Lytechinus pictus: one gene and its partner. The protein of the gene in region 2 interacts with the protein of the main gene of each other region in a biochemical or structural test. Links are inferred from orthologs where the notes say so. Each region holds a gene or a part of one and is shown on either strand. Other genes may lie near its edges. The genes, in order: alpha-crystallin B chain-like; probable citrate synthase 2, mitochondrial.

Region 1 (15,835 bases), on a different chromosome or scaffold from region 2:
TGACGAGTAGGCATGTATAAACATAACTACGTAACAGCCAATTACATCCTACACTATACGCTGTAAAAAATATTGGGTAACATTTTAACCAGCACGAGGGTAATTATGTGTCCAACCAATTTGTGGCAGCATTTTACCCAATGCGGGAAGCATATTGTCCAGTAAGGTTAAAAAAATAAGCAGCAATTACTTTAGAATGGGCAAAATTTTCATCACAATGGATAAATAAAAATGCCCAAAACAAATGCCAAATTTTAGTTGGACACATAATTACCCTCATGGAGCATTTTTACCCAATGTTTTAAGAGTGTATGAAAAAAATATTCAGATTTGAATAGCGCTGATCTGTTTTATAAACAATAATTTCTTAAATCTCCTAAAATCATCCATTCAAACTTCTAACATAATTCATTTTAAAAATATGCATTTCAGTTACTTTCAACTAGAATTGGTGCAAGGTGTCTAAGGTTTTTTGTAGGCCTTAGGCCTACCGCATCAGTGCAATGAGATCACATGATTTTGTGAAATTATTTTTGTGTAAACTTTTAGTGATAAATGATATAGCTCGGAGCCAAATAAAAGCGGTTTGATTTGAAATTGGATCTTACTCAATGGAAGACAAAATTCAAAGATTTATTTTATTTATGTATTGACGCATAAATTAAATTCAAGTCAAGCTATGATTTACAGAAGATTTATCTATGAATTTGTAAATAGAAATCAATATTAAGCAAACAAAAAATTTTACTTGACATCTTTGTAAAACAATTTAAAGTTACAGAATTTCTAATCCTTAACAGGGTCTTAATGATTGCTTCTTGATAAGCCTAGGAATTTGCCATTTATAATCGAAATAAAGAAACAAGCAAACTCTGCTAATTAACAACAAAATTGTACAATACTTAAAAAATAAAAAATGCAATGTTATAGAGGCCGATCGCCTGTCCCAATATAGGCTTACCATGTGAATTAAAGAAACGAAATATTAAAGAAAATATATCACAGAAGGTGCTTAATGATACACCATGTCCCTATATCTTGCGTAGAGTTGCTATTGATTTAAATCAAACACAAACCGGGATTGTTATCAATTCCTATATTTTAACAACACAACTTGAGATCAATATCAATTTTAATTCGATTTAAATCGATCGATCACAACTCTTTACAAGTCGGTGCTCCATGCAGGAGGTGTTTCACAAAGCTGGTTTTAAAGTTACAATGACATGTTACGAACAACTGTTTTATGGCAAGCCATCGAGTTCTCCAATGGTTTTAATCGCATGACCTAAAATCTGAATAAGCAGATATCAATTAGCACTTTTGTATATTGCGATCTCTCATTTAGAGACGTAAAATAAATATTTTCTGTTAGTGAAATTACCTTTGTCGCAGTAACGATTTACTACACCGTCCGGTACGACTTTGGGACTATATGTTTACACTTTATGGGCTATTACCGGCATTCGTTATAAAGCTTTGTGTAACATAACTTTGGGAACATATACGGTCACATCAGTGAAACCGAAGTCGGCCCGATAGTGACATGGCGAGATACGTCACCTTGCCAAGTCGACTTTAATACACTCATTATGTTGCGAGATATGTTGTTTTGTGAAAACTGACACACAAAAGTTGTATGTCAACATGGAAATGCGTTATCTCTCCATGTCGACTTACAAAAAGGTTTATTTTGGCATGGTAAAATTTTGACAAGTCGTCCTATAAAAAAATTATATGTCGTCATGGCGAGATCTTGTCAAGTCAGCCCCAGAAAAGGCGATATGATGATACGGCGAGATAACAATCTTGCCCAGTAAACAGTAAACGTCGATCACGTATCTCGCCATGTCGACATACAACAGACTCTGTAAAAGTCGACATGGCGAGGTAACATATCTCCCCATCTCGTTAAAATTTATTTTCATGGCACATTAAAGTTTGTAACCAGCTGGGGTGAAATCGGTTTGGAGTTTGTTCTGGTGGCTTGACTATAATACCACCAGGGGCCCGTTTCATAAAATAAAAACTTGTTATTATAGCAAACGCACAATGTCTATAACAAGTTTACTATCAGCCAATCATAATATTGTATGATTCCAGTTGCTTTAAACTGTTATTGCGAATTTGTTATTATAACAAGTTTTATGAAACGGGGCCCCAGAACTTTCGGTGATTTTACTTCTTAGCCCCTCCGATGGCTGGCTTACTCTCAACCTTGATGGGGATGTTTTGGTTCTTTGGTTTGGGAGGATTGCGGGGAGCTTGGATAGCCAGGATGCCATCTTGGCCCAGTGATGACGTCACAGTGGTAGGGTCGACATCGGGTGGGAGGGTATAGCGACGGGTAAACTCCCGGGAGATCTTGCCGTGGTCGTCCTGTTTTTCCATGTGCTTGCCGTGCACGGTGAGTTCGGTTTCAACGATCTGGGAGGGGGAGGGGTGATAGAAAAAAAATGGTATCAACAGATTAAGATATTTTTTCTTGTAAATAGTGTATTTTATGTTCACTAAAAATGATCGCAATTGTCTGCATCAGTAATAAGTAGAATTAGTACTGAATTTGATGTACAATATTGAGATTTGGTTAATATTATTGTTTAAACTATGATAATGACATTATTTGGGGCTAACCTCGACTAGCACCTTGCTATTATGTTAGCTCCAATTACTAAATGCTGTGTTTATATGTAATGTACTATTCCATGTTATTGTACCTGACAGTAATAGTTGGTAATAAATTAAATTCAATTCAATTCAATATAATGGTCTGAGTCGAAGCACCTATAGGCACATTTTTGTAATAAAGATATATGACGTTAATTATAATATTCAAACAAGGCTGTTTAGTATATGAAGTCTACAGAAGTTGTTTTATAGCAGTTTAAACAAAAATATATATTTTCTTTAATTTATTTAATCTTTGATAAATTAAGCTTCATTGTTTAAAGTGTTGAAAATTCATGCAGTAAACAGCATCGTATAAACATTTTAAACAGCGTGTTTATTGTGCATATTCCATCTTGCATCTCATTCATTGCTTTATTATGTATCACTGTCATCAATGACGTAATGAGCCAAAAACAAAAAATAAGGGCTGAACATTGTGTATGGGGCAATATTTGGAAGTCATGTCATATTCCAACATTTTGTTTTTTTATTTCTCTTGGTCGTGGAATATTTCGGGCCCCAAACCCCAATATAGGCTTATACGCCAATGTTCCCGTCATCATTATCATCATCGTCATCATCTTCGCCATCAACATCATCATCAACTTCATCATCATTATCACTATCAACATCATCACGATCATCATTATCACCATCATCACTAACATTATCATCATCTTCATCATCATTATCATCGTCATTATCATCATCATCATCACCATCATCATTTTCATCATCATCTTCGTCGTCATCATCATTATCATCATCGTCATTTTCACCATCATTATCATCATCATCATTATCATCATCACCATCATTATCATCACCATCATCATCACCACCACCACCATCATTTTCATCATCGTCATCATCATCGTCATCGCAAGCACCATCATCGTGATCATAATAGCCATACGATATATCGGGGGAGACGTCTTCTAAAAATACCTTCTCCGAATGAACACCCACACACACACCGAAACGTATGCAAGAATATTCTAGTTTGATGACTGCACGTATAGGAATGTTCGCCCCCATGCAATTAAATCAGCGGGGATCATTACATTGCCCTCACGAAAATTCCATCAAAGTTGGATACAGCACGTAACAATCGAGGTATATGAAAGTGGATACTGACGGATGGTCCTTTACTACTAAACACGATCTCCAACCTTCACCACCCCAAATATGAAATAACAAATAATAGAAAATCATTATGTATTTAATGATACTTTGAGATTTTGAAAACCGTTTGAGATTTTTGAAAACCGTCATGCAAAAGTAGTCATAATTTCTCATGTATTTCTTTATCAATCCACCCTCAAGTTTGGTTAGGCCTACTTGACCATTTACATATTCCTTCTCTTTCCCTTGTTATTTGTATGCGTTTATTGTCATTGATTTTGTTAAATCCATTTTTTATTAAAAACAAATGCTTCATAGAACTCCAAAGTAATTATTAACATCCAAAGACCAGGAGTTATCCCGTACAACAATATATATACAAAACATGTATACTAGCCTATATCTAATTTGTCATTTTTCCTTACTTCTCCCTTCAAAAATTGAAAATAATAATTATGCTCTATTTTTCACGTGTACACAACCTATTAAGCCAAAACGCATTAATGACCTTGACTTTGTTTCTACGCAAAATAAATGTACATAGCCTAAATAGGTGGCGGCGTCAACTCGAGTCACAGAGGTGCGTTATACCTTTCTTTCTACCTCCATGGTTATACCAACACGGTAAAAATAACAGTTAGTGTGTGCCCAAACACCCTCTCTTCAAGTTCGAAATACAACTTGTAGTATTGCATGGTAACGTGAAAAGTTTGTAGAGAGGGATTGTTTTTGACATGGGTGTGGGTGTGGGAGTGAGGAGGAGTTTCTTACTTTGGTAGTATGGTGATAAATTGCGGTCTACGGTAGTTTGGACGGCCATTAATGTAATAGCGGATCGATTCACGGATTTATTTTCATATAATAACAATCTACACTCAAATCCAACAAGAACATGCAATAATATTCACTTAAACAATCCCAGGACACTATTTGCACATAAAACACTAAGACATCATGGACCTGATATAGTGATATTTGGAATGCATTGCCAGATTCACTCAAGCTGACAAGATCATTTTATTCCTTTAAACGAACTATAAAAGAATTGCAATTAAACCAATACCTAACAAATAAAAAAAAGAAAATCATTATCATTGTTATCGTTATTTTAATTAGACATTTACTTTTATCTAGAACATGTATAAATTAAAATCAAACAACAAAACGTGTTTTTTTCTAACATTTCATGCCAAGGACCAAGCATCTCCCTTGCCCCCCCCCCCCCCCTCCCAGTCCCTCATGCACTTGCACGTTTTATGACAATAGATATTAATTATTTTGGCTATTTTCCAGGGCTGTTACGTTTTCAAGCTTTGCTTTTGTGAAGACCCTTGCAACCATCCTATTTATTGTGTAACAGAAAATACCACTTAATATTTTTCATTTATGTATGATATATTTGATGATTTATATACAAAACTATTGTTCATTATCTTGATGTAAAATTTCAGATATGTATTTTCTTGTCCAGAATTTTGTTATGAAAAATGTTGCAAAAACCAATAAATGAAATGAAATGAAATATTAAAGTGAGTGCTGTTCTAACTAGTTCACCCGGCCGAATATAAGTCCACACCAACCTATACTATTAACAAAAAATATTTTATTTATTGTTTGTCATGTTCTTGGATCAAAGTTATTTCCATTGCCATGAAACCACTTGTAAATTTAAGGCATCCAACCACAAAGTTACATATTAGAGGCCTATTTATTTTCAGGTGTTATGTCCTTCTTATCATACAGTATTAAATTGATGTGCTGTGTAGATTTGCATGATTTGCTATGGAGAAAGCTAAGAAATACATACGTGACCGCCATGAATATTACATGTAATCTCATTTAATAAAGCATTATTTTGAGGATTGTCATCTTTAATCTATGACAGTTGTCCACATTCTGAAGATACATGAACCTATTTAATGTAGATTCCTTATTTCGATTCAAATGTTGGTTGTTATAATTTTTTCCCACAAATATGAGTTATAACAGAAATAAAATGGGTCTCAATTTTTTCTGTAACACGTCATAAAGCTTTTCCATAATGGGAAATAATTTTCTGATTATGATTGGCATTCACACAACATGCATAATATCCAGGGGCCGCGGAACGGCTTTGAAAGTGGGGGGGGGGGGCTGACCATGCAAAAAAATCACAATCAGATGGTCATTTTTTTTTCGTTTTTGTACACTATTTAGAAAAAAAGTGGGAACTGAAGCCCCCAGCCCCCCCCCCCCCCCGGTTCCGCGGCCCCTGATATCCAATCAAACAAAGACACATGAGACTCGTATACACGATGGGCGGCACCAGGGGTATTTTGATAAAGGGGCAAGACGTCCCGAAGGGGAAGTCCATTCTTGCATGAAAAATATGATTATTGAATTTAAGAGTTACATGACCAAGGCCCCGTTTTGTTTAAAGTCCCCTTTCTTCCCCCTTGGTAATTTTTTTTGGGGGGAAGGGGATAGAGTCACAAGGATGGTTCGGTGATCCTGATAGGTGTTTCATATACCTGTTCGTAACTTACGAGCGATTTTAAGAACGACTGGTGATCTTTTCTTAGAAGCTAATTCAACATCAATGAAAATTTGGTGTTTATCATATACCACAAGAAAGGATCACCAGTTATTCGTAAAGTTGCTCGTCACTTATCAACAGTTTTATTAAACACCCACCAAAACCAGGAGAAATAAGAGGGTCATCAATTCCTTTTACCTTGATTTCGATGTCCTCCGGGTCAAAGTTACTGACGTCGACAGCCACTTTGAAGTCGGTATCCGTCATCATGACATCCCCCGTCGACACGGGAATGGGTGTCCTCCCCATCCTCATCGGAGGCATGCTGGCGACTTCCATCCTCCTCGAAGGCACCATCGCCGTCGTCGGCCTCGATGTCACGTAGTACTGCGAAGAACTCGGGTGAGACGGGAAGTCGCCGAAGTCGTCCTCGAAATGGACGGCGTCGCCGAAGCGTTGCTCGAGACCGAGTCGACTAGGCATTGGTTGATGATCCCATCCGCCGTCGTCGGTGAATCGACGTCGAGAGCTGTAAGAATAATTGTAAGGATCTCGTCGTAAAGCCATTCCAAAGTTTTGATTATCGGGCTCCAGGATTGCGAAAGCAAAGGGAATTATGGACAGAAGAACTTGAACTACAGTGTGCTCGTAGCGTTATCGTAATATAATCGTAGTGTAAACGTGGTATAATCGTTCTTAAGTCCAAAATACATAAATAAACTTTAATAAAACTCAAATTGTTTCCCTTTGGTGAGATGTTCAGAACACCCAAAACTAGAGCGAAAGTATATAGGTCCTCCAAGATGCATAAGGAAATAGTTGGTCCGGATAGCAAGAGGAATTAGAAGCGACCGGCACTTGATGTAGAGAATGGGTGTGTTAACGGTAGCTCTCTACAACTGGAGCTGGGTTTTATTCCCTCCTACCCTGCACTGGTATCTAGATCATGCAATGAATTCCATCCACCTGACATCAGGCATCAGAAAGGGGACCGGGGGGCGACCGTCGAGGTGCAAATTAATACCGGGGAATGATAATGGTTATCCGTACATCTATGTCACACCGTCTCAGAAATGTTTTGACGGGCCTATCATGTTGGTTAGCATAATTATGAACCTGTATCAAATATTGGTTAATTAAAAATCTATATTCGCTTATTTCATTGTAACCAACATTTAAACGTTTATAATTATTATTAACCAACCTGTTTTATTTCTGAAAATGTATATTCGTTCCAGAGAGAATACTTGTTGAACAAAATAGCGGTGCTTTTAAATGCAATTACACTAATGGATTGTGAATCATTGTGAATCAAACGAGGATTGCAATTACATGGTCTAAGACAATTGTAGCATAATGGGGGTATGTGTTAAAGTGAGAGAACTGTGGTACCAGGGAGGGAAGGGGGCAAACAAGAGAGAGAGAAAGATTGAGAGAGAGAGGGGGAGGAGAAGACCATGAAGAGCAGAGCGTGAAATAGAAGATTAGAAGGAGTGAAACGGAGACAAAACAAGGGGAAAAGAGGGGGAGGAATACAATTTTAAAAGAAAAATTAGAATGGAGTGACGTCACTAGTGTAATGCTTTATACAAAGGGGGAGAGCGGAGAGAAGGGGAAAGAGTCAAGAGGACTCCGACAAATGGGATAGAAAGGGGGTCGATTGTATCATGTCACTCCTAAACACACAGCTCTCTGATGGTCCTATCTATCATAAGCATGTCAATATACTGAACGGAATATAGACTAACCGTGTCAGATTCCAGAAATCCCGACATCCACCCTAGGCCGCTACAAAATACCTACACGCCTTGATAAACATTACCAATAACCCGCCGCTGGTAGAGTGGTGTTATGGTCGGATGAAAGAAGCTTCATCTTCGATACAGAGGTGATTTGAGGGGATATAAGAAGGGGATGTTCCTCTACTGAAATCACTTCATATACCCGAGGCTGCTACAAATACCTACACGCCATTACAGGGGCCGCGGCCCATGCATTATACATCCTCTCCCGTATAGAGGTATGCCGTACTGATAGTAGGGTTCTCTTTTGGCCTTCTACCTCTCGGCAAATTTGGAGGAATGAAATCGTTACAATTCCATGGACAGTACTAATCCGATTATGAGACGTGCATAACATTCATTCCACATACATTTTGTTGGAGCCTGATCAATGTTGAAGGGGACATACTCTTAAATACAAAATTACCATCGCACTAAACGGTAAGGAATGTACCATATAAAGTATTCATTATCGCAATCATTCTTATCCAATTTATATCATGACATAATTATTATGCAAATTTAAATTTACTATTATATACAATCCATTATTAAGTCTGTTTCACGGCGTGTCTCACTTAAAGATATAAATCTACAGAAGTCGCGGTCAGGGGTACTCTGATCAGTAACATCTATGTTATCTTTATTTACCCGTCTTTTTTATATAAAAGGGCCTTTAACTATCTCATATAAATCTCTTGAAAAAATCCCATCAAGAAGGAAACATTAATCATGTTTATCCTGGATATGAATCGTTTCTTGTCGGGTATGTTCCCCAATCGGGAAGTGAAATTAAGCGCCAAGCATTCGCCCAATAGATATTTCGTGATGGAATGACTATTTGCTTTCTATTAGCCATGATTCCTCATTTCATTTTACAAGGACACCCTATATAGGCTGAGAAGAATTCGGATAGAATTAATATAGTGGAATCAATGAAAATTTATTAACAAATCGGTTGGAAAACGACGCAGCTATGGAAATTAACATTTTTGAATTATTTTGGTGAAATAGTGACCGACGTGATGCTCCCATCCTTCAGTTTCGTCGTAATCGTGTCATGTGAAATTATAATCATAATAATTTCCTACTTCAAGAATAAAACAGTGAATGAATAAGTGATTTTGACATAAAAAATCACTTTAACTATTTAACTATTTTTTACAAAAAAAATGTTTACACATACACATATTTGACAAAATCGAAATATATAAATAGAGTGGAATCAAACAAGCAAAGCAATGAAAATTTATTCAAAATCGGATGGTAAACGACGCAGTTATGGAAATGTGAAATTTTGAATTATTTGGTGAATAGTGACCGAGGTGAGTTTCTTCGCTATGGTATCATGTGAAAGTATAAATAATCATAATAATTCCCTACTTCAAGAATAAAAAAGTGAATTAATTAGTGATTGTGACATAAAAAAATCATTTTCATCAATTTATAAATTGATTCAAAATTGATATAAATGATTCATACAATTATATAAATTGTGGATCATTCAGGTTTGAAATATACTTTCAAAAACATACATTTTTTATTACATTTTAACATATTTAATCCACATTCCTTATTCAAATCGCATTCGCATTTCGTTTCTTAAGAAAATTTGTCCACCTTGTTTTATTTACTTTTATGATTATTAATACTTGGAATTGTGGGATAGACAAAAGGATTTGAAATATAGAGAGAGGAGAAAACAGGCTATGAAATAATAAAACCTAAAAAATCCTAATTTGCAATAAGATTAAATGATTAAATGTATGCATTATTGAAAGAATTAAACGAATTTAATAATTGGATAGAAATATGTGAAAATTATATTATTTTTTCATGAAATTGATAGTAACCGTGCATATTGATAAAATTGAAAAAGAAATGAAACCTCACCTTAATTGTTGTCTCCATGTAAAGTTTGATAATAAAAAGAAAGAAAAAGATTTTTTTTAAATTGATAATTATAGCAAAGTTATATTTTTCTATGTTTATATTTTTTTAAACAATAAAGATAAATAGTGTTTAGAATTGAAATGTTTATTACACCTTTTTGTATAATATTGATATGCGCTGTTTTCTATTTTAGTTTACAATGAGTGGTAATCTTGTAAGGACTTGGAAATTCTCATCTAAACCTCGAGCTTTTAAACCTATAATTTCATACGAATGTGAGTGATTCTCAGAGTAAAGGCCTTTAATTTTCCCCTTTAATTACTGTATACTTTGTAAAAAAAACATTTCTCATCTCTAAGTCTCGGGGTAGAGCCAATAAAACCAGTCTGAAGAGCTTTCCCCAGGCAGAGCAGTACACTTCACATGATTAATGCTGTACTTATGCTGTAATCTACGTCGGATCTGAATGTATTCTTCCCAAGCTTTGGGCGCGAATAAATGTAGATATCGATATCTCACTGTATCCCTCTTTTCGAGCCTCTCTTCTGGTCTGTGAGAGCCCAGCAAGCAGAACGAACGTCTGCAAATGAAAGTTAGCTTCTGTTTCCATCATCCATGAATATGTCACACAAAGCTTGGCGATTGATCGTAACGTTCATGTACACATATGATTTTACGTAGTGATCAGTGCAAACGATCGTAAAGATCAACATTGCAATCAATGGCTAATCTTCGTGTGACAAGACCCATATCATATGACACAGTCCGTCGTTATCGTCAGTGGCATGGTGGAGTGAAGTGTTGAGTGAAGGGCCAGGGTGATTTTAAAGAGTATAGGTCTATACGAACATGACAAAGCAAAACTTAATTGCAGCAGTTTATAATGTAATATGCAAATAATTTGTTTGAAAGGTTCACTGGGTTGATTTGCGACCAACATGCAATCTTGATACAAATTGATTAATAGTGTTAGAATCAATATGAAGAAATTAATTTGTCATATTAACAATATACCCGTGAACTGCACTTTTAACATATACATTTATATATATATATATATATATACATGTATATATATATATATATATATATATATAAATGACAGAGTGTACCATGACGTTAGGACAAAAGTCTGAGCCCCGGTGTTTGTCCCCCAAAATGTGAACAACTGACAGGTTTGTAATCCATGTATAGCCCCTTTTAAAAATAACAAGAAAGCGGTAAATTTTGTCCATTTAGTTTTCTCAATAGGGCCTAAGCTTTAATTCATAAAAAGGCAACAAGGCGGCATTTAAAAAAATACTTTTTGCACAGCTTAGTTCACCGTGAAGAGACTATATGTATTTAGTTACCAGCATTGTCAGCTTTCGCACCCCTTCAATCGCCCCTAAAGATTTCAAATCAGTCTTGTTCTCTCCACTGCCCTTATATTGGCCCCTCTTGTAAATCGTGGTGCAAAGTGCATGACTAGAACACATAATCTGAATGGGTCTCAGCCTACCTTACATGTGCATTCTGGCTGGTGAGATAGATAGATATACAGCGATGAAGAAGGGAAATTGAAAGGAAACTGGAAGGAAATTATTTGGAAAAATTGCGATTCATGGCAATGATTGGTACAGCAAATCGAAACGAAGGCACATCAATTTCAGGAAATGGTGTCGTAAAGCAAGCGAATTGAAAATAATAACTGTGGAGGAAATGGTATGGTTAAGGGGGGGGGGGGCAAGACGAAGGGGGTACCAAGAGACATGGGAAGAGAGTGAAGGGGGAGTAGATCATTATTCAAGATTATAATGAGACAACCGGTGTACGTAGGATTGGCGCCTAAAGAAGATCTTCATAAGATGTGAAGTGATTATGGTCGATTGTCGAAGGGTGCGTGTGTGTGTGAGAGAGAGCGAGAGGGGGGGGGGGGTCGATCAAGAAATGAAACAAACAGTGTACGTAGGAGTGTTGTTGATATGAAATGACTTCGATCGTCAAAGAGAAAGATAGAGAGGGGGGGGGAGAAGGGGGTCAGTTTAGGAAATATGACACAACCAGTGTACTTTGGAGTGTTGCCTAACAAAATCTTCATATTAAGATAAGAAGTAATTCCGATCTCCAAAGAGAGAGAGACAGACAGACAGACAGAGAGAGGGGAAGTTGACAGAAAGACAGATTGACTTATACAGAGCAGACGAATTTGTTGATAATTGGCTATCAGCCTGTTCACCCAATTCATTAAAAACATAGATTCATGTATAGGGGTGTCCGACGATCTACCACTTGATCACCATCGAGCACACATTTCCTCTAAATCTAAATCTCCAAACAGACATAGTAGTCGGTGTGGAATTAAAACTAAATAAACACCTCCAGATACAGATCGACTAAGAATAAATGTCCACGTCCCTTGACAAAAGCTCCTTTATACAGAAAATCTCCCAGTTCAGGGAATTGACATCACGTATATGATAAAGTAGCCAAGAAGTATATAGACTGAAATTGAGACGGATGGATTTATTGCTTCTAGGAAAGGAGAGTCTGATACATATTGTGATCATTTTGTAGTAAATTAGGGTAGATGGTAGGATAATATCAAGGTTTTATCGTTCGTTAATCTCCACCGTGTGGTTTGAAATAGAAATGGAGCTGCCAATAACAAGGATAAAGAAATGCAGAAAAAAGGGAAGATGAGGAACAGATAAAGACTTAAAGACGATATAGATGTATGGATATGGTGATTGAGAGAGGGTGAGAGGGAAAAGAGAGAGAGAGGGGGGATGGGGAGGGGGAGAGATAGGAGAGAAAGAAGAGTGAAGGAGGAAGCAAGAGAGAGAAAGAGAGAGAGAGAGCTGGATGGAGGATTTTTCTATTTAAAAAATATAGAGTAAGACCTACCTAAAAAATAATCAACCTACTATTTCTCTATTTTTCATTTATTAGAATATAGAGAAAAACACCTACACATGACAAGAATGAATCCGCACACCCGCCATTGATCTTGCCGTGGCGAACTATAGCCCTTACTTCAAAATATTTTCTTACATTGCTACTTGCGATGTTGCATTATAATCAGATGTTCCCGAAGCAGCCAATGTTCCCTCGTGAAATATATCGGTAATCGAGGGCATCCAAATTAGAAATCGATATAATAACAGTACATCTGAGGATTCGAGGATTCATGGGTGGTAGTAAGATGATGACGATGGAGAAGGGGGAGGAAGAATGAGGAAGAAAAAAGATGCCGGATAGAGATTTCAGATTAAGAGAGAGAGAGAGAGAGATAGGGGGAGAGATGGGGGTGTAGAGTAAACAGAGCAGTGAAGACAGAAAGAGAAGGAGGAAGGCATAGGTAAAATAGGACATGATATAAACATTCCTTACGATGAAAAAAATAATGAACAACACTGTTATATAATTTAAATAATAATTTAAACAACGCTGTTTACTGTGTGAATCGCACAGTAGTTGTTTAAACAGTTTAAACAAGTGTTTAAAATCTTAAACAACCATGCTTGAATTATTGATAATTAAATATTTGAATTTAACTGTGTTGTTTAAGATTTTAAACACTTGTTAATTTTTTTTAAACAACTACCGTGCTATTCACATAGTAAACAGCGTTGTTTAAATTATTTTCAACAGTGAAGGTAATGTTGCAAGGTGACTGTCATTGTGTTGGTGTTGTTGTTGATGATGATGGTGGTGGTGGTGATGATGATGACGACGACGACGACGATGGTGGTAAAACGATGATAGTGATGATGATGATGCTGTTGATAATGATGATGGTGATGGTGGTGACGACGATGACAATGATGAGGATGACGAGGATGATTATGATTTTGAGGATGATGATGATAATGATGATGATTATGATGATTATGATGATGATTAGAAAGGCCACGAGAGTTATGATGGTGACCACAATGATAATGATCAGTGTGTAATAAAGATATTTATGGTAACGATCATGACAAATGGGGCTATCAGTGATGATGATGATGATGGTGGTGGTGATTATGATGCTTATGACCATGGTGAAGGTGATAATGGCGAAGATGTGGAAGTGGTGGATGAGTAGGGCAATGATGATGATAATGACGACGATGATGATGATGACGACAATGATGATGATGATGTTGGTGCAAATACATATGATGGTAATGACGTCGGAATCCACGATGATTTTCCTAATAATAACGCGGACCATGGTATCGCGGCCACTAAATAATGATACCTGACAATGGAGGAACTAACCTCTATCAAATGTTAATAAAAACTAATCCAAAAATAAACGAAACATATTATAGGCCTACATAAAACTGAAATGCACAACAGTATTACCTACAAGCCTGCTATTATCATTACAATCGAAGGTGACTTATATATGTCTCATCGTTGTTTCATGGGGCAATAGGCAGGGGCGGATCCAGTATTCACACACGGAGTACAAACAATTTTGTCAATTTCTCTCAAATTAATAATGAGAAGCAAAAGTACCCCCAAAACCTTATCACTCCGAAATAGAAGTCTTTATTACCGTAAAGGAGCCGGCAAGCAAGAAAACAAGTAAAGAAAAGGGGGCAACTGCTTCAAAAGGGGCGTGTCCCCCGTTCCCCCTCTGAGTTAGTCCACTTGAATGATGAATTTACCTCCTGGCATTGAAGATGAGGAAACCGTATGGCATGATATGGCTTACAATGACTATAGCAATTAACCTCACTCTGCCATTAATGAAGCATGTTCTAACTCTGTTTGAATTAATTATGTTGTTTTCAATGAGAGCAACGGGAAGGATGATAAGGGTATCGAGTACCCCCCCCCCTCTTCCCTTCCTCAACCTCACCCCATTACCATACCCATCACATCCGCCATTTCTCTGGTCAGATGATTAATATGATTAAGACAGAATTGCTATGTGTTGAAAGCTTTTTCCGACTTAAAGGTAAAGTTCAAATATCTGGTAGATCCTAACCAACAGTTTTTTTTTATAAGGACATATATTTACCAACATATTGGTTATTTCGACTAATCCTTTCTAAGCGTTATAGACCTTTGCCAGGAGCTTTTCCTATTTATGTTTGCGCGAAACCTAAATTATGGTTGTGCTAGAGCAACACCTACATTCTAAATAAATGAATAATTAATGTTTTTCAAAGACGTGTAATGATATTCTCTCGATATTAGACATGCTAGTTGTGATTATACTTCATACTATACCATGGATACACAGTTGATCTATACTCTACTTCATTATTCCCCAGTGATATTGGTTCTTATAATTTTCATCCCCATCAACAGTTAAGTCACATTCCGTTTGCTTAAAAAATATCTTTGCTTAAGTCAAATTATGAATACCCGTTTGAATGTCATAATTATTCAATCATGATCAGTGTCCATTATTACTTGAAATATCATTCAATTTGAAAAGAAGTAAGTCATATCTGTTTTACAAGTCAACATGCATCTGATTGAAGCTCTATAATTCCATGAAGAAAATAAGACGTCACCATGCTGCGAAAATTGATGAGAATCTTGAAGAACGGTCGAGGGCTTGTATCACAATATAGTTATTGTAGCAATAAATGAATAATATTGTTAAGATCGTCATTTATAGTTAGTATTTTACTGGACCATCGATCAGGAACGAGCATCATTCCAGCATGGGCCCACAGTGGTATATGGGTCCATGATTCCAGCAAAGATTGGCACAGTTCTTGTTCAAAAAAAAAAATTAGGACGAAACTGCTGTAATAGTTCACCAAGCTGTCCTTTGTCATTTGAATGATGGGCATTGTCAATAGATTAACTGTGTTCTTGAATCCGTCATGTGTCGCGATTGAGAAAAGATAAACCCTTG
Region 2 (16,102 bases):
TGAGTTCGAACAGAATCCAATAAAATGACAACCCAAGTGTTTGTACGTGTAAATAAAAATATGTAATTCCTGAGAAATGAGCAATATAAGCAAGGAATTCCATTAGATGTTGGGTGCATGCATTTTTCCAAACAATATAATACACTGTCTCACATATGCCTTTTTGTGCTCATCAGAATTATCGGTTTCAGCTAAGATTTCATGATTTCACAAAGACAAGTTTATTTCAATCAATGTACCAGAACTACATGTACAAGTAGAGCTATGATAATTTTGGTGGCATTTAACCATAATTCCAAAGACTTTCTCATTAAATAATTGTTTGCTGCAAATACTTTCTTTCACCTTTAATTTTACAATGTCAATAGTCATATGCACATCCTGGTGAGTACATGTACATACATGTATGCAAATGAGTGAACTCATGATGTCATCCACTCCCATTTTCTTTAGTATAAAATATTCAAATCTTCTCATTGTCTTGTGGAACAATGTCTTATTCCTCCATGAACACGTGGAATTACATTTATTTTAACATTTTATGGTTCAGTCATGTTGGATGTTCTTGTCAAATCTGTAAAAATTGAAAAGAATAATTCAAATTTTCAAAAAAAACCATAAGAAATAAGTGAGGGACATCATTGACTCTCTTACTTATAATGTCACTGAGTTTTGTATATACGTGTAAACTGTTCTGTGAAAAAATAAGCGAAAATTTGAAATGTCATAACTTTCTCATTTTAATCTGATTTTGATGAAATTTTCAGCATAATGTTGGTCTGACTTTTTCTTCATCAATTCAAATCATCATTTCTCTGGGGTGAACTTGACGTTTAACAAAGTCCAAGGTCTTCAATTACTGGGGAAAAAAATCTGAACTCTGCTCGATACTTTAAAATCTGGCCAATTAACTTAACTTTAATACTTTGGAGGAAATCATTCTTTCTTTGACTAGATAGGAAAAAAGCCAAGACAAATACATGTATATTTTTCCCTTTTAAGTGAAAAACTACAAAACCTATGCAGATTTCATAACTGCAAATAAAAATAGTTTCCATAATCTCTAAGGCTTTCAAATAAAAAGATGTACAGTATGCAGTTTTCACACCTGCAGGCTGACACAATGGGTTCCCTTTGCACATCAAACCAGACCCTTCTCACATGGATATCATTGCATTTCTTTGTAAAGATGCTGGTAATTGATTACACCTAATAATTCATATACATAGGCCGATATGATGGAGTAGGTCCTGTAGGGCACATGTACAATTAAAGGGGAAGTTCACCCTGACAAAAAGTTAAGTGTAAAAATAGCAGAAAAAATAAAAATATTGCCGAAGGTTTGAGAAAAATCTATCTTTAAAAGGTTATTAGAATTTTAATTATTTGATTTGTGATGTCATGAGCAGCATTCTTACATGTATAGCAAATGGTAATATCAATGTCATTTTTTCTGAAAATTGAAATTGGTTTTTACTGTACCTTTTGTACATGTATATCAATAGACAAATCAATTCACATCCGATCATGAAAAGAAAACAAACATAAGTCATCAGGAACCATTACAAAAGTGAAATTCATGCATTTTAAATTACATAACATAATGTATGAGGCAGCTGCTCGTTTATGACGTCATAAATCCAAAACTTAAAAATAAAATTCTAATAACTTTCTTCATCTTTAACAGATTTTCCTCAAACCTTCACCAATATTTTTCAATTATTTTTTCTGCTATTTTTATAACGAACTTTTCTTCAGGGTGTATAAGTGTTAGACTATGGCAAATCTTGTACAAAAAAGTTAGGGTTCACCTACGAATATCAATTTATTGAATTATCATTATTCTGTTTCATACAAGATAGGGTTATGATATTATAATGGGCAAGTCCAAGAAAAGGTCAACCTAGAAGGCAAAATTTCATCTTTAATTTAAATAGTTATCTTTGATGGGGTAAGAAAGCCCAAATGTTGAATTTAAAAATTTCATTAAAAAAATTTGATAATATGCATATTTATGCTAATTTGGGGCACCTAATTTGCATAATTGGTAAAATGGGCGTTACGTATGGGACAATTATAAAAACTCATAGAAAATCAAAACAAAACTTGTAAGATTTAGTCATAGGTGGGACATGGACCCCCTAACATCTTATTACTTTTGGGGAAAAAAAAGTGGTGTCATCTAATTAAATATGCAAATTAGGTCTTGTCCAAGGATGGAATGTCCCATACGTAACATTTTGAGGATGTTTTTTTAAGTTATTTCTCATAATACAATACTTGTATTGTTGCATCTCTGGGAAGTTCTAATTTATTAAGTATGAAAATGTTATACCACAAAAAGTTTCAAAAATATCAAAAGTTAATTAAAAAATTGTTACGTATGGGACAACATGCTACGTATGGGACATTTACAAACAATGTCAATGGGGAGATTTGTGTACAAAGTGAATGGAGAAAAACAAATTTCAAGAGTGCTAAAAAAAGTAATTATTTACCTTTTCTTTAGTTAAAGGTAAATGCCAGTTTTGGTAACGATCTCAAAATGACTTTTTAAAGAATCCAATATAATGACCACCCAAGTGTCGGTTTGTATGAATAAAAAATATGTGCCAAAGGATTCTGGAAGAAATTGTGTAATTGCTGAGAAATAAGCAAAATAAGCGCGGATTCGGGCACTTCCGTCGGGTCTTTATTCCAGCAATAATAATATACTGTCCCACGTGTGCCTATCTGTGTTGGCGATCTTCAGTGTGATCGTTTTTCAGCTTAGATTTTATGATTTCACAGAGTTCAGTTTATGTAACTGTACCAGATCTAGATCCACGATGATATAGTTATATTTAACCTTGGTTTTACAGACTTTCTCACGAAATCAGTGTTTACTGCAACTACTATCATTTAGCTTTAAAGACTGATTTGTTATGAATACTGATTAATGAAAACAATCAAAGCAAAAAAATTGTAAAAAAATTGAAAAATATGAAAAAAAATAAAAAACATTAGAAATACATAAAAAATTCATGAAACCATAAAAAAAGAATAAAAATTGTTGAAATGGCTAATTTCCTTTTCAGTCATATCAAATATGTCTTAATAGAACATTTTAAAAGAAAAACAAATCTTTTGTTATTTACATTTATAATTCAAATTATTTTAATTTTTGAAATTATGGGAAAAATTGTGTACATTCTCTATGGGGACAAAATGTCCCATACGTAACATGTCATTAATTTGTTTAATTAGAGTCTGTAATTAGAGGGTTTGGGCTTATGGCATGAAACTTGCCTTAGATATACAATAGTGTTGTGACTTCTATCACACTAAGTTACAAGTTGTCAAATGAAGTACTTTCAGAGAATTCTCAACTTGAAAAAAATGTTTTACAAATTTTCTTTTTTCTGCGTCCCATGCGTAACGGCACATCTTTTCTCTCTAAAAGGTCAAGGTCATTTGTCACCATTTTTTGCATCATTATTTTTCTCCTACATGTAGATGTCTACCATCATGAGGGTATTCAATCTAATCAAAGTCATTAAACACTATTTTTCAGGTCATTAAAGCCTCTGAAATGTCCCATACGTAACGCCCACAAATTCTTGGACTTGCCCTATAAATACAGTGTATGCCTCGGAATATACTGTATTTCTAAACAATGCAAAAATAGTTTTTGTTTTGCCATAAATTTGAAGATTAAGACTAAGAAAGAAAATTTCTTAAATCAATAGATCTGTAAAGTACATTTCAGTACGAAACAAACAATAATATTGAGAATCAATGGACAGAGTTGACTGGATTATTCATTCTTTTTTAATTTTACTGCACCAAATTGTTAAAAAGAAAGTGTAGCATTGGTAAAAAAAAATATCCATTAATGTGGGTTCAGTTAATATTCACATGACACAATGTCACGTGAATATCAACAGAACCCTTTGTATAAATTCTCTCATTAAACTTACTTTATCAATGATTTGAGTAAAATATTCTGTTTGCCCACCCCCAAACCTGTGACTGTGTATTTCAGGAAATGAGTTGTCTGACGTTTCATCCAAAAAAAATCCTGTTGTATCCAACAATAACCTTTGCAACAGAGCCTCTCAGGAGTCTCAGCCAATCAAAATCTAGGAAAGATGTCAGATCTGACAACTTGTCGGACAAAAATATTGATGAAACGCTCCCTTGAGCATTTCTACTGAGATGGACATTGCGCCTATAAATTGCATTTATTAATAATATAGGCTAAACCTCAACAGAAAAATCTGTAAGATTCATTTCAGAGGATAGATGACCTGTAATTTGGATTGAAGTCTTAGGAAGTGTTGCAAGATTTATTTGCAATCAATTGCATATTTCAGATGCCAATTTGCTAGTGATAGACATATTTTAACTGAATCAATGCAAGAAGCAGAACATCAAATCAATTGCAAATTGGAATGAAATGCATCACTTTAAAATGAATTTGGTACACTGTATACCCAATTGTTGTGTGTCCGGACAATCAATTTTAAGCAGCCATTGGAAAAGTTAACGAGGAAGTTTCCATCAATTTTTTTGATAAACAGTTAAGCAATATTATAGAGAACAAAACTGAAGTAGATTACTATCAAATTCATATTTTTTTTTTGTAATCCAAAGCCAGAAAGAAGACTTCAAAATTTTAAAGTGTCCAGACACCCCACGCCCCCAAAACCATCAGGATCTACTTCATACTGACTTTTAAGATAAATTGCAAGTTTCTTGCAATACCCCATTAGTCACGTCTTCAGTGCACCTCCCGTAGGCGTAGGCATGACAATTTACAGGCCCTAAAGTCTTAGGCCCGTATTCTGAAGTTCGGGCTTAATTCAAATTCTGGTTTAAAGTTGTGGTTTAACTATGGATAGCAAATTGTGGCATAAATATCTAACAGTAGAATTTCAATGGATCAGCTCATTTTTCTCTTAAATCATTCTTCACTATTTCGGAAGGATAAATAAGATAGCTTTCTTCACCATCCATGAGTTAAAAAAGAACATAGTAACTATAAGGAACATACAAATTACAATGTAAGAAATTTTTTTGGCTTTCCTTAATTTTAGCAGAGTTAGACCATGGTCTATAAAGTTAAACCTGGGGAGCGTTTCATCAACATTTTCGTCCGACAACTTGTCAGATCTGACAACTTTCCTTGATAATGATTGGCTGAGAGTCACCGTTACCATAGTAACTGTCGGATAAAACAGTACTTGTCGGATAAAACGTCCGACAAGTCCTTTCATGAAACGCTCCCCTGACTTCAGAGTAAGGGCCATGTCTCCCATTATAAGATCAGGTGTGCACCCCCCCCCCTAGTGATGTAGCTATTTTTACTTACTGTTGACTCTGATGCATTTCTGACCCCAGCACCAAATGCAGGTAGAGCATTCTGTGAGGAAAAGAAGAAAATCATTAAATCAATGGTGGAATCTCAGCATACAGTGTAAATTCCAAATAAAGTTTTATATACATGTAAATCAACAATCACAAAAATGACAAAATCAATTTAGAAGATTTTACAGTAAGACTAAATTTAAAGGACAAGTCCACCCCAACAAAAAATTGAATAAAAAGAGAAAAATCCAACAAGATCAACACTGAAAATTTCTTCAAAGTTTGATGTACATGTGTAAAATAAGAAAGTTGACATTTTAAAGCTTCGCTTAATCTCACAAAATAGTTATGCAGATCCTAGTCAGTATGCAAATGAGAGAGCTGATAACATCACCCACTCACTGTTTCCTTTGTATTTTATTATATGAAATATGAATACTTCCATTTTCTCTGCATTATCATGTGAAACAAAGTTTTTATTTCTCTCCGAACATGTCAAAATACCATTGTTTTAACATTTTCTGGTTCAGTCAAGTTGGTCATTATTGTCAAATCTGTAAAAATCTTATATTGTATATTCAGAAAATAAAAAACAAAAGAAATAGTGAGTGAAGGACATCATTGACTCTCTCATTATTATCAATGAGTTGTGCATTTAACTGTTTTGTGAAAAAATATGTAAACTTCAAAAAAAGTCATAATTTTCCTATTTTACATCCGATATTCATATTTTTAGCATTATGTTTCTTTGATTTTTCTCTCTTGAGAGAACACATATGTGGAACACATAACGTTAGGGCCTTTGACTTTACATTCGCTCTCAGTGCAGTGACTATCTTACAAAATTCTTAGCTCTGCTTAGACTTAGTCACAGACGTATCCGTGCCACACAATGCACAATTTGAAAACTGTGACACTACAAATATTATAGATAGTCAAGTGACAAATAATAACAAGTGCTACAATCCAATCAGAGCACGAACTGAACAATACAGGAACTCGATCTTCCCATCCACTATCAGTATCATAACATGACATTGAGTGGAATCACCTGAGTGACGCTGTCATCAACTCAACATCGACAAGCTCATTCAAGGCCATTGACAGAACCTTCTCTTCTTCTAATCCTCACTCCGCCCTCTCTCACCCGATGCATTTATGCCCAGGAGGAGGGCCCTGCATCGTATACATCCAGATCCAGACAGAAAATAGTCAGTAAAACAAGTGTCCCTTCTCGCTTCACTTCATTTCATTCTCATCACACACACAGCATGTATGGTTGGAACTACCCCTTATCGACCACCTAATCTTCTAAGCATCGTATCTGCGAAAATATTTATCAATTTTACCCAGTTTTTGTCTCGTTTGTGCAGAAAATTGAGCAGATCAGAATCCCATGTTTCGCTCGGCGACTCCGATTCAATCCGCGTATATATCGACGAACAACGAATACGACGATTTTACATTTGCTCATTTGCACCCGTCTTTTGAAACCGAGCACCCGCGTTACGCTAAATTTACGGCCGATTCTTGCCGCAGTGGTGAAATATTTTTACTTTTCAAAATTAGTTCTATGATGTCAACATGCTAAATTATCGTCTCACTACTTCCACTGCGAGCTCCGGCACATGATTCGACGATTGACGACGGATATTTGTTCTAAAGACGTTTCCTATCGGATTTCTTGGTTTTTCAGCGGGGTTTGGGTCTGGTCAATACAATTTTGATTAATTCTACTAAATTTTTACTTTTTGTTGCTTCTTTTTTTCTCGTAAAATCGATTCTTACCGTTTTTACGGACACTGTGCCTACTCTCCCGCGCGTATTGTTTGTAGGCCTAATAATACGCAATAATTTTAACACGCGCAAGGTGGTCGGTTTCAAAAGAGGTGGTCGATATGTGGTAGTCTCACCATACCGTATGTCCAGTACCGGTTATCTAGAGACTGTATTTACTTCGGGCGAAATTCGTGCAGGCTCCACTCCACTTCACTACCGCTACACTACGTCTACGCTCCACCTACCCGGGTAGGTGGAGCGTAGTGTAGCGGTAGTGGAGTGGAGCCTGCACGAAATTCGCACTCTGAGATAAGACGGTATTCAGCATGAATCCGCGTCGCGTCAGGGCGGCGTTGCCATACCTCATTCACAAATCATGATCACCGCGAAATATTCACCTAAAAAAAACCACACACGATATAAACCATACCTTGGCATGTAGAAGTAATCTCCTAGTTGCTATATTGACGAGAGACATAATTTTAGGTTGAACTTAACGCCAGATTACTTGTAAAAGGGGACTTTAATCCAGTCCAATATCACCGGCGAGTTTTCTGCAGCAGCGTACCGGAAGCTCTCGGCATTCTTAAAGGTCATCCGGCCGGGTCATCACGAGCTCGATAGCTGCTCGCGATCCGTCGCGATCTCGATCTCGCGAGCTAGATTTCCGAGGGGCGCGCCAGGGTCGGGGTGAAAAAGGGAGCTTCGAGCCCTCCGAGGGGCCGGAGAAGTGATGAAAATAATGATCCCATCCAGTGGCGTACCTAGGATTTTCCACAGGGGGGGGCAAATTCGTCCGCCAAGAAAATTTGACAAGCAAAAAAAAAAAAAAAAAGTCTTCAACCACAAATAAAGGATTTCATACCAGAAAAAAATTTGACAAGCAAAAAAAAAAAAAAGTCTTCAACCACAAATAAAGGATTTCATACCAGAAAAAAATTTGACAAGCAAAGAAAAAAAAAAAAAAAAAAGGTCTTCAATCACAAATAAAGGATTCCGTACCAGAAAAAAAATTGATAAGCAAAAAAAAAAAAAGAAAAAGGGCTTCAAGACTCGTCAGGGGGGCAGGGATATGTCCCTTGCATGGGTTGTGACTCGTCAGGGGGGGGGGCAGTCTGCCCCCCGTAGTTACGCTAGTGATCCCATCCCATTGAGGGGGGATCCAAGTGCCCCTATCTGTACGTCAGTGATGTAAATCCTGCATGATTTGACTGATTCCCTAAATCTCGTGAAATGGGAGCTTCCCAATTGAAGGGCGAGTAAATAACAGCCTGATTGAATTGAAAAAAAATGGTATAATTTTCACAGCATCGAATTAACTCAGACCTGAGTGTATGTATGTGCACCTCCTCTAGGTATAATGTGATTATCGCTAGATCGATCAAGAAGAAGACTAATTAATAAGAAAATGAAAAAGAATTAAGAACAAAAATAAATTAAGCCTATCAATAGGTGCCCTATTATTTTAATGACAATATAATTAATATATGTTTATCATTGTCTACAGAATGGTCCATTTATGATATTTTCTTCCATATCCGCCTCTTTGTTCAATTGATATGTTCTTTTGATTGATTGATTGATTGCATTTGTTCTTTTTCATTCCAAAATTCAACTGTATACTATTCTTTTCCTTGTTTAAGCTTAAAATGCGGTACATTTTTGAAGATTTCTGCTTTTATTATTTCATGTAAACTTCAGACCCCTAGCACTCAAATTCTTCAGTAATGTTTTGTTTGATAACTAGTATGTTTTATCATCCTATTTGCTGTATTAATGTTCTTAGTCAATTTTCACCAAAATCCCGTATACCATATACGTTTCAATACACTCATGTAAGGGGAGAGAGAGAGTTAATTTACATATCATTATACCATAATTATATTTATATTTTGATATACTGTACATGTACTCTTCTTAATTTAACCAACTATGTTTCTCACTCTTCAGTTTCTCACTTGGTTTAAATCAGAATTACATCTGTGTATTACTACTCTCATACTCATCTCTTCTGTCCTCATCTTCCCCAGCCCTCTTTCCCTACTCTACTGTATCTCCTTTTCCCATTATCTCTACACTCTGGTCACCCTTTCCTTAATCTGTCAAGTTATCCAAAGTGTTTGTATTTTTATTTGTAAATAATATATTTATAAAGTTCGATTGCTATATCATCCTATCATTTTATTGTTATATTTTGTAAATCCAATGCAATTCAGTCTAAATGGCTGCGATATGTGGATATTCTAATAAAACCTTCAAACCTTCAATATTTCGCTCGCGGTTCGCGTAAGCCTATATATTATAATGACGAATCTCATTTTAATTATCGCTGATGATCAATTTTCATATATACGATGGGCGTGGGTTGTGGATATCCCAGCACCTGGGGGCCTTGGGAGGGGGGGGGGGTGACATCATTATTGCCGTTGATAAGGAAAAGACAAAAATTATTTCTTAATATTCTAAAACATATAATCTAACAAGTGAATCATTTTTTTGAGCTCTTTAATTGTTATCTAAAAAGCCAGCAAATCGGAGAAAAGGAGTCATCGATCTATACAGTCTTCATTTTAGTCATTTTTTAATATACCGTATCTCCGATATGTCCGAAGAATCAAATATGTTTAAAAATGAGTAATTCTTGGCAACGGATTCATCCTATGCCATGAAACTATTACCTTAATTATACTTAACAGCCTTTAATCAAACAACTATCACATAGGCGGATCCAGGGGGGACCCGAGGGGCCCGGGCCCCCCTATTGGCGGAGCAAAAAAAGAAAAAAGGGGATAGAAAGAAAAAAAGAAAAAGAAGAGAAGAGAGAGGAGAAAAAAGAAGGGGGGGACATTTATATGAGGAAGAAGACGAGTGAATAAAATAAGATGAGGGGAAGACTTGGAAACTAATTAAGAAAATCTTTCATGTCACTAAATAAAATTTTCGCTCGCGCTTCGCATTGCCTTTTAGGTGATTTACATATATTGTTCAATATGGAATTTAAATATCTATCAAGTTTGGAAGTCAATATACAAAACATATACATTTCATCTCAGAAATCGAACATTCATTATTTTGTGTGATTTACAAATTGATTTTAAAAAAGTGCTCTGTAAAAATGTCAGTTTTATGGTCTGAATATTAACATTTTCTGCTCGCGCTGCGCGCTTGCAAATTTTAATTTACCAGATACCTATTATTTTCGTGTATTCCATAAAGTTTTCAAAATATCCCTTTTCAGGTCTGATTGTCAAAACGTATCAGCTAGCGCTGCATGCTCGCATTTTGATTGGCGAGCTATGTCTCAATATTGATTATACAACAAACTACGTAAAATCCCCTTTTCATGACAGTGTATAAAAAAATTTCGGCTCGCAATTTGCGCTCGCATTAATGGTTAATAATATATTAACTGATGCATCCTAGTTATAATTACAAAAGTGATTGAAATGTCCAGATTTCAGGCCATCATATCATCAGATTTCGCGCCCTTGTTAGGCATTAATGAATAAGATATTTATTTAATAATTGAATTGGCACTTTTGTTTCATCTCGAGCTTAGCAAGAGGAATAGGAAGACAGTTTTCATTTTCATATGATGACATGTCCTAAGGACATCATTTTCCAGTGTCAGATCACAATATCAAACATTTTCTGCTCGCGCTTTGTGCTCTCATTATTAATGTAGAAAGATCCCGTATTACTCATTAAGTTTTCATGATTTACAAAACATGAATAGAGTGTCCAGTTTTTAGGTCTAAATCTCGATTTATTTTTTCAGCTTGCGCTTCGCGCTCGCATCAATTGCTTAGTTATATAGCTATCTTGTTCAAGATTATAAAAAATTGATTACAATTTTCCATTCTTAATGTAGAAATGTCAAAAATTTTCAGCTCGCGCTTCGCGCTCGCATGATTTGATTGTTGAAATACGTAACGTCTCCATGGCTAAGTGGCAGTTCTTAACGGGTACCTTTTCGATCAGTTCAAAACGCATATACAATTTTTCTGCTCGCGCTTTGCGCTCGCATTATTAATATAAGGGAGATCCCCAATTACTCATACTTTTCATGATTTACAAAATACGAATAGTGTCTCGTTCAGCAGGTCTTAAAGTATACATCCAAAGAAAATTCACGAAAGTGATGATTATAGACAAATTATATATGAATGGAAAGGTCTTGTCTTTTTATACACAAATATGTCACTAAAAAGTCTTATTGATGTCTTAAAGATATATGAAAGAAAGTCCGCTCGCCGCTGTTTCCTAATAATGCTTCGGCAACTCAACTGCAATTTCAGTCATTTCGCGATGGATATTGCCGTGTTTTTTTGTGGTTCCTGACTTTGCTACTCAATGAAATTTCATAATTTTTGTTCAGTCATAAAGAAGAATGTCTATGCTTTATATTGATTATAACATTAATGTGACGCAAGTGTGATTTCTACGTGAAAATATGCTTTGTTTATTCACATATATTTCTTTAAAAAAAAATTCTAAGCTAAATATCGGTTACCAAAATACGTTAAATGTGCACTTTTTTTCACTGTTCAGTAAATTCAAACTTTTATCTATATAACAAGACCAATCTTAAGAGGAATAAACAATTCTAAGAGCAAAAAACGCTGATTGGAAAGATCGTCTCCAATGGGCTGCTGTCAGCTCAGCTGCTCACTGCTCATTGTGTGACGTCACTCAGCTGGAGCTCGCAAGAGGACCGGTGGAAGGCAGAAATATGGCATGAATATAAATCATTTTTAAGAGCTGATTTCTGCAATCTCTGATCACTATTTTGAAAAGTGAAGTTATATATCTGATTAGTAATACTTCCCCTTTACAATGATGACCACATAAAGTCATTATAAAATACTTTTGATTCTTCGGATGTATACTTTAATCTCAAAATTTTCCGCTCGCACTTCGCGCTCGCATTGATTGTTTAAATTAGTTATATAAAAAGTGCTTAGAATTTCCATTCTTCGGGTAAAAATGTCAAAAAACTGCATGCAGTCTTTAACAGGTAGCTTCTCCATCAGTTCGGCTCGCGCTTCGCGTTTGTAGTAATTATTTAGTTGCATACACATCTTTTTCAGGATAACAGACATTGCCCAGAATGTTTAAGGAAAAAATACATAAGATTTCCAAAAAAATTAGCTCGCGCTTCGCGCTCACATTATATAAATAAGGATTATGATATTATATATTTATGTTGATCGATAAGAATAAAGCTAAAAACTGACTATTAGGACTACCCCTTCAAAGAAACCGAAAATCATCTTCGAGCGGCCGATCGGGGAAAATATGGCTGAAAAAAAATCCGGGCTCCCCTATTGGCGAAGGCTGGATCCGCACCTGATATAATTCACATAGCAAACAACCTGTTAATCGCTCGAATTAATAATAATTAAAAGAAATTGTTTTGGAAACATTTATGTACTCTATTTGTTTCCAAGGTCCGTTTCGATCCAGCCCGAAAGATTACAAGCTTTATACTCGTTGAGGTAAAGAAATCAACCTCAAAACAACACAAACAATCAAGAGACACATTATTTGTAATAAATGTATATACTTATTGATAAAATAATTTAAAGAGCTTGTATATAGGAAAGGAATACGGATTATATATAAAACAGTATTATTGATGAACGAGAAAAGGCATACGGGGAAAAATGTTACCCTGCATGTAAAAGCGAAGAGACCGAGCCGAAATAAGCTATGTTTAGGACGGCGGCACGGGGTGGGGAGGGGCAATGACTCCCAATCGCTTTTTTTTTAAAGATGTGAATAAAGAGAAAGATCGAGAAAGAGGGGGAGAGAGAGAGAAAGGAGAAGAAGGAGGAGGAGGAGAGGAAGAAGAAGGAGGAGAAGAGGAAGAGGAAGAAGTATGTAGATGAAGAAGAAAAGGGGAAGAAGGAAAAAAATATATAGAAACGGAGCTATATACATGTAGGTCGGGTTCGTTTAACATCCTGTATAGTAACTTTAACTACAATTAAATTGAAGAAAAAAAGCCTTCCACATCAGGACGTCTTGTCCCCCTAGTAGTTTTGGATATTCACATCTACACTCGAAAACAATCTACTAAAATGTTATTCGCATGATTAGATACCCCATTAGAGGGGAACTTAATAGACCCAATAATTTACGGTAAAAAAAATAATACCCTGTCAAAAAAAATATACATTTGGCTATTCGCTTGGACTAGAATCTTCTTCATTTTTTTTCCGATAGAGTTTATAAAGTCTCTTATTTCAGTAAATAACTAAAGCGTCCCTTTGATAATGTATTTATTCAAAATTGAGTATGTTATTTTTTTGGAATGTATATAGACCATTTTCTTTGTGGAAATCGGAAACAGTGCGGTTAAGTTGACTTTTTTATTTTCCTGTGATCTGACTAACAATCAAAGAAGGTCCAGGAAGTGACCTTTCATGAACAGGGAAATTATGTGTAGATAAACTTCCATAATAAGGTATTTCAACCTGTCATAATCACGCATGCAAACTTCGATCAACAAGCTATGGGCCTATAAGTTCAGGATATAAACAATCGTACAGTAACAATTTTAGGTTTGCAAGGATCGGCAACGAGTGTTGGTTGATTACCCACTTAGACTTTCCAAGTTCATGGAATAAATAATGCGTCTGTCGGTGATTTGTTTAATTAACATCAGCTAAGCAGTTTGTAAAAAAATAGGAATACGGCCAAAGAATGGCCATGGAGGGAGAACAATTGCCAATCATCAAGACACGTTGTTGCATGAGTCATCAGAGATCCGTCTGATTTAAAAGTGAATCAGCTTATAATTATAAAAATAGTTTCTGAATCAGTCCATGTTTTCAATCAAGTTGCATCCAATGGGACTGAAGAAGGTCCAAATAATATGGAGCCACGTGACATCTCTGAAATCTACAGAGAAAAGGACAGCAGTGAGGAGAAGATTCTGACAAGGCCATGCAGTAACTTGAAAGATGAAGATGCAGATGGCCACACTGGAACAAGACCATCGACTGCCTGGAAATTAACTGCCTCCAAACTTCATGATGATAGGACACCCTGTGCTTTCAAAGGAGACCATACCGACGCTGATGCCAAGGAAGGACTGGACTTTGGCTGCTGCAAACGGCATGATGGTCAGTGGAAGAAGTTCTTCTGCAGAGACTGTGATGTGTTCATCTGTGCATCGTGTGTGATCTTGGAGCATGAGAAGCAGGGTCATACATGGATCAGTGCGTCTGAAGCTGTAGGTCAGATACAGAGAGAGGCGGAGGACATCCTGCTCAAAGCAGAGGTGAAGCTGGATACAGTTGGTGACGCCATTACTCAGCTTGAGAAGAAGATTGAAGAGGTGAGTGACTAGTCTTTCAGTTTTCTAATTTCTGTGCATTGTTTGAATGTTGTTTCTTCGTTAATTGGATTTATCCTAAAAGTGTTAATTAAAGAGAAGAGAATGGTATTTCAGTCTACCAGTTACCCTTAAGTTTCGTTAAAAATAAATGAGTATATATTAAGAAGCGAGAAATGGAGAGAAAGAGAGAGAAAGAGTAAAACTATAGAAAGTGGGAATGTTTGATATTAATATTTACATTTTGGCAAGCACAGTACAATTTTATTTGCCGGGTTACATCAACATGATCTGTATCATTGTAAGAAACAAGGTTTTGAATCATTCTGAAACACTCTTGACAATATATATTAATACACCCATTTCCACGAATGTAATTTGATCAAAGGACTACAATGTTTTTAACGCATTTTTTTGTTTCCTTCTCTCCACAATTCTTATATTTTATAGGTACCCCTTCATACACAGGCTCTCAAGGAAAGTGTTACAGCAGCTTGTGATGATGCAATCAAGTATTTCACGCAATATCTGCAATCGAAACGTTCCCTGCTGCTAGAAAGAATCAAGACCCTGGAGAAATCCGGCATTGATAATCTAGAATCATCAAGAAAGGAAGGATTGGAGATTCAGGCCAAACTTGCAAGGATAACCATGTCTGAATCAAAGGTAATAGCTGAAAGGAATCCAGGAGATATCTTGAAGTGGAAAAGCAATCTTGAGGAATCTTTGAAGGCTATTCAGGTGCAGAGCTGGTGTAAACAGAATGCCCATGTAAAGGTTGGTGCCCTAGATCCAGAACTCAAGTTTGTCAAAAGAACTCAGGAAACTCATCAGTGTTGGTGCCATGTTGGCAGGCTAGTGCAACCAGGAAGATGGATAATGGTGCGAACAGTTAAAGTTCAGAGGCAGTTGGGTGATCTGGTAACAGCAATTGCCACAATGAAAGATGGTTCAGTGGCACTGGGATACCAGATAAGTGGGGTATGCATTGTAGATCCTGCAGGTCATCAAAGGCACGTTTTCCAAGATGTAGGACATGTTATAGACATCTCAGTCATGAGCAGACACAAACTAGCCATGTTAGATGCTAATGGTGTCATCAAGGTTGTGGATTTGTCAGGTCAGGTGACAACAAATGAATTCCCTCAAGGTTCTCACCATTTCAAGTGTCTCTCTGCTTCTACAGAAGGTGCATTATTCACGGGATCCATCTCTGAGAACACTATCCACATCCTGGGAGGTGACCAATCCCGTGATATCCTAGCAATGCCAATGTCGCCACTGAAGATTGCTGTCTCAGCCAACCACATTGCCATCTTGCACCAACCTGCAAGCATCACAATACTGGACATGGATGGCATAGAACAGAGTGTCATCCGCGAAGACCAGTGGGCTTATGCTTCAGTGTGCTCATCAGGAATGGGAGACTTCTTTGTCCTCTCTGCTGACAAATCCAACCCAAAGTCACTAAAGATTGGCCGATATGGCTTTGATGGGACAATGGTAGAAACTGTCATTAGTAACTATCGCATATCTACATTAGGATGGTTGAACCCTAGAATAAGTGCTTCATCTGGTAAGATCATGGTTTGTATCGAGGATGAGCTCATTACCTTTGAACGAGAAATGGAT

The links.
Region 1: the proteins of probable citrate synthase 2, mitochondrial (region 2) and alpha-crystallin B chain-like form a complex in vitro, tested with the Homo sapiens proteins (3 studies listed by BioGRID). The link is inferred for Lytechinus pictus from reciprocal best matches to the Homo sapiens genes CS and CRYAB.

What each region holds. Positions count from the first base shown.
Region 1 is NC_087246.1:44,745,376-44,761,210, forward strand, and holds the start of alpha-crystallin B chain-like, read right to left. Parts: upstream 7,264-15,835; 5' UTR 6,878-7,263; coding exon 6,509-6,877; intron 2,428-6,508; coding exon 2,179-2,427; 3' UTR 1-2,178. UniProt on the Homo sapiens protein: May contribute to the transparency and refractive index of the lens. Has chaperone-like activity, preventing aggregation of various proteins under a wide range of stress conditions.
Region 2 is NC_087257.1:28,092,045-28,108,146, reverse strand, and holds the start of probable citrate synthase 2, mitochondrial, read right to left. Parts: upstream 7,801-16,102; 5' UTR 7,607-7,800; coding exon 7,559-7,606; intron 5,405-7,558; coding exon 5,354-5,404; intron 1-5,353. Other genes in the region: uncharacterized protein LOC129274671, read left to right, coding at 14,009-14,473, 14,921-16,102. UniProt on the Homo sapiens protein: Key enzyme of the Krebs tricarboxylic acid cycle which catalyzes the synthesis of citrate from acetyl coenzyme A and oxaloacetate.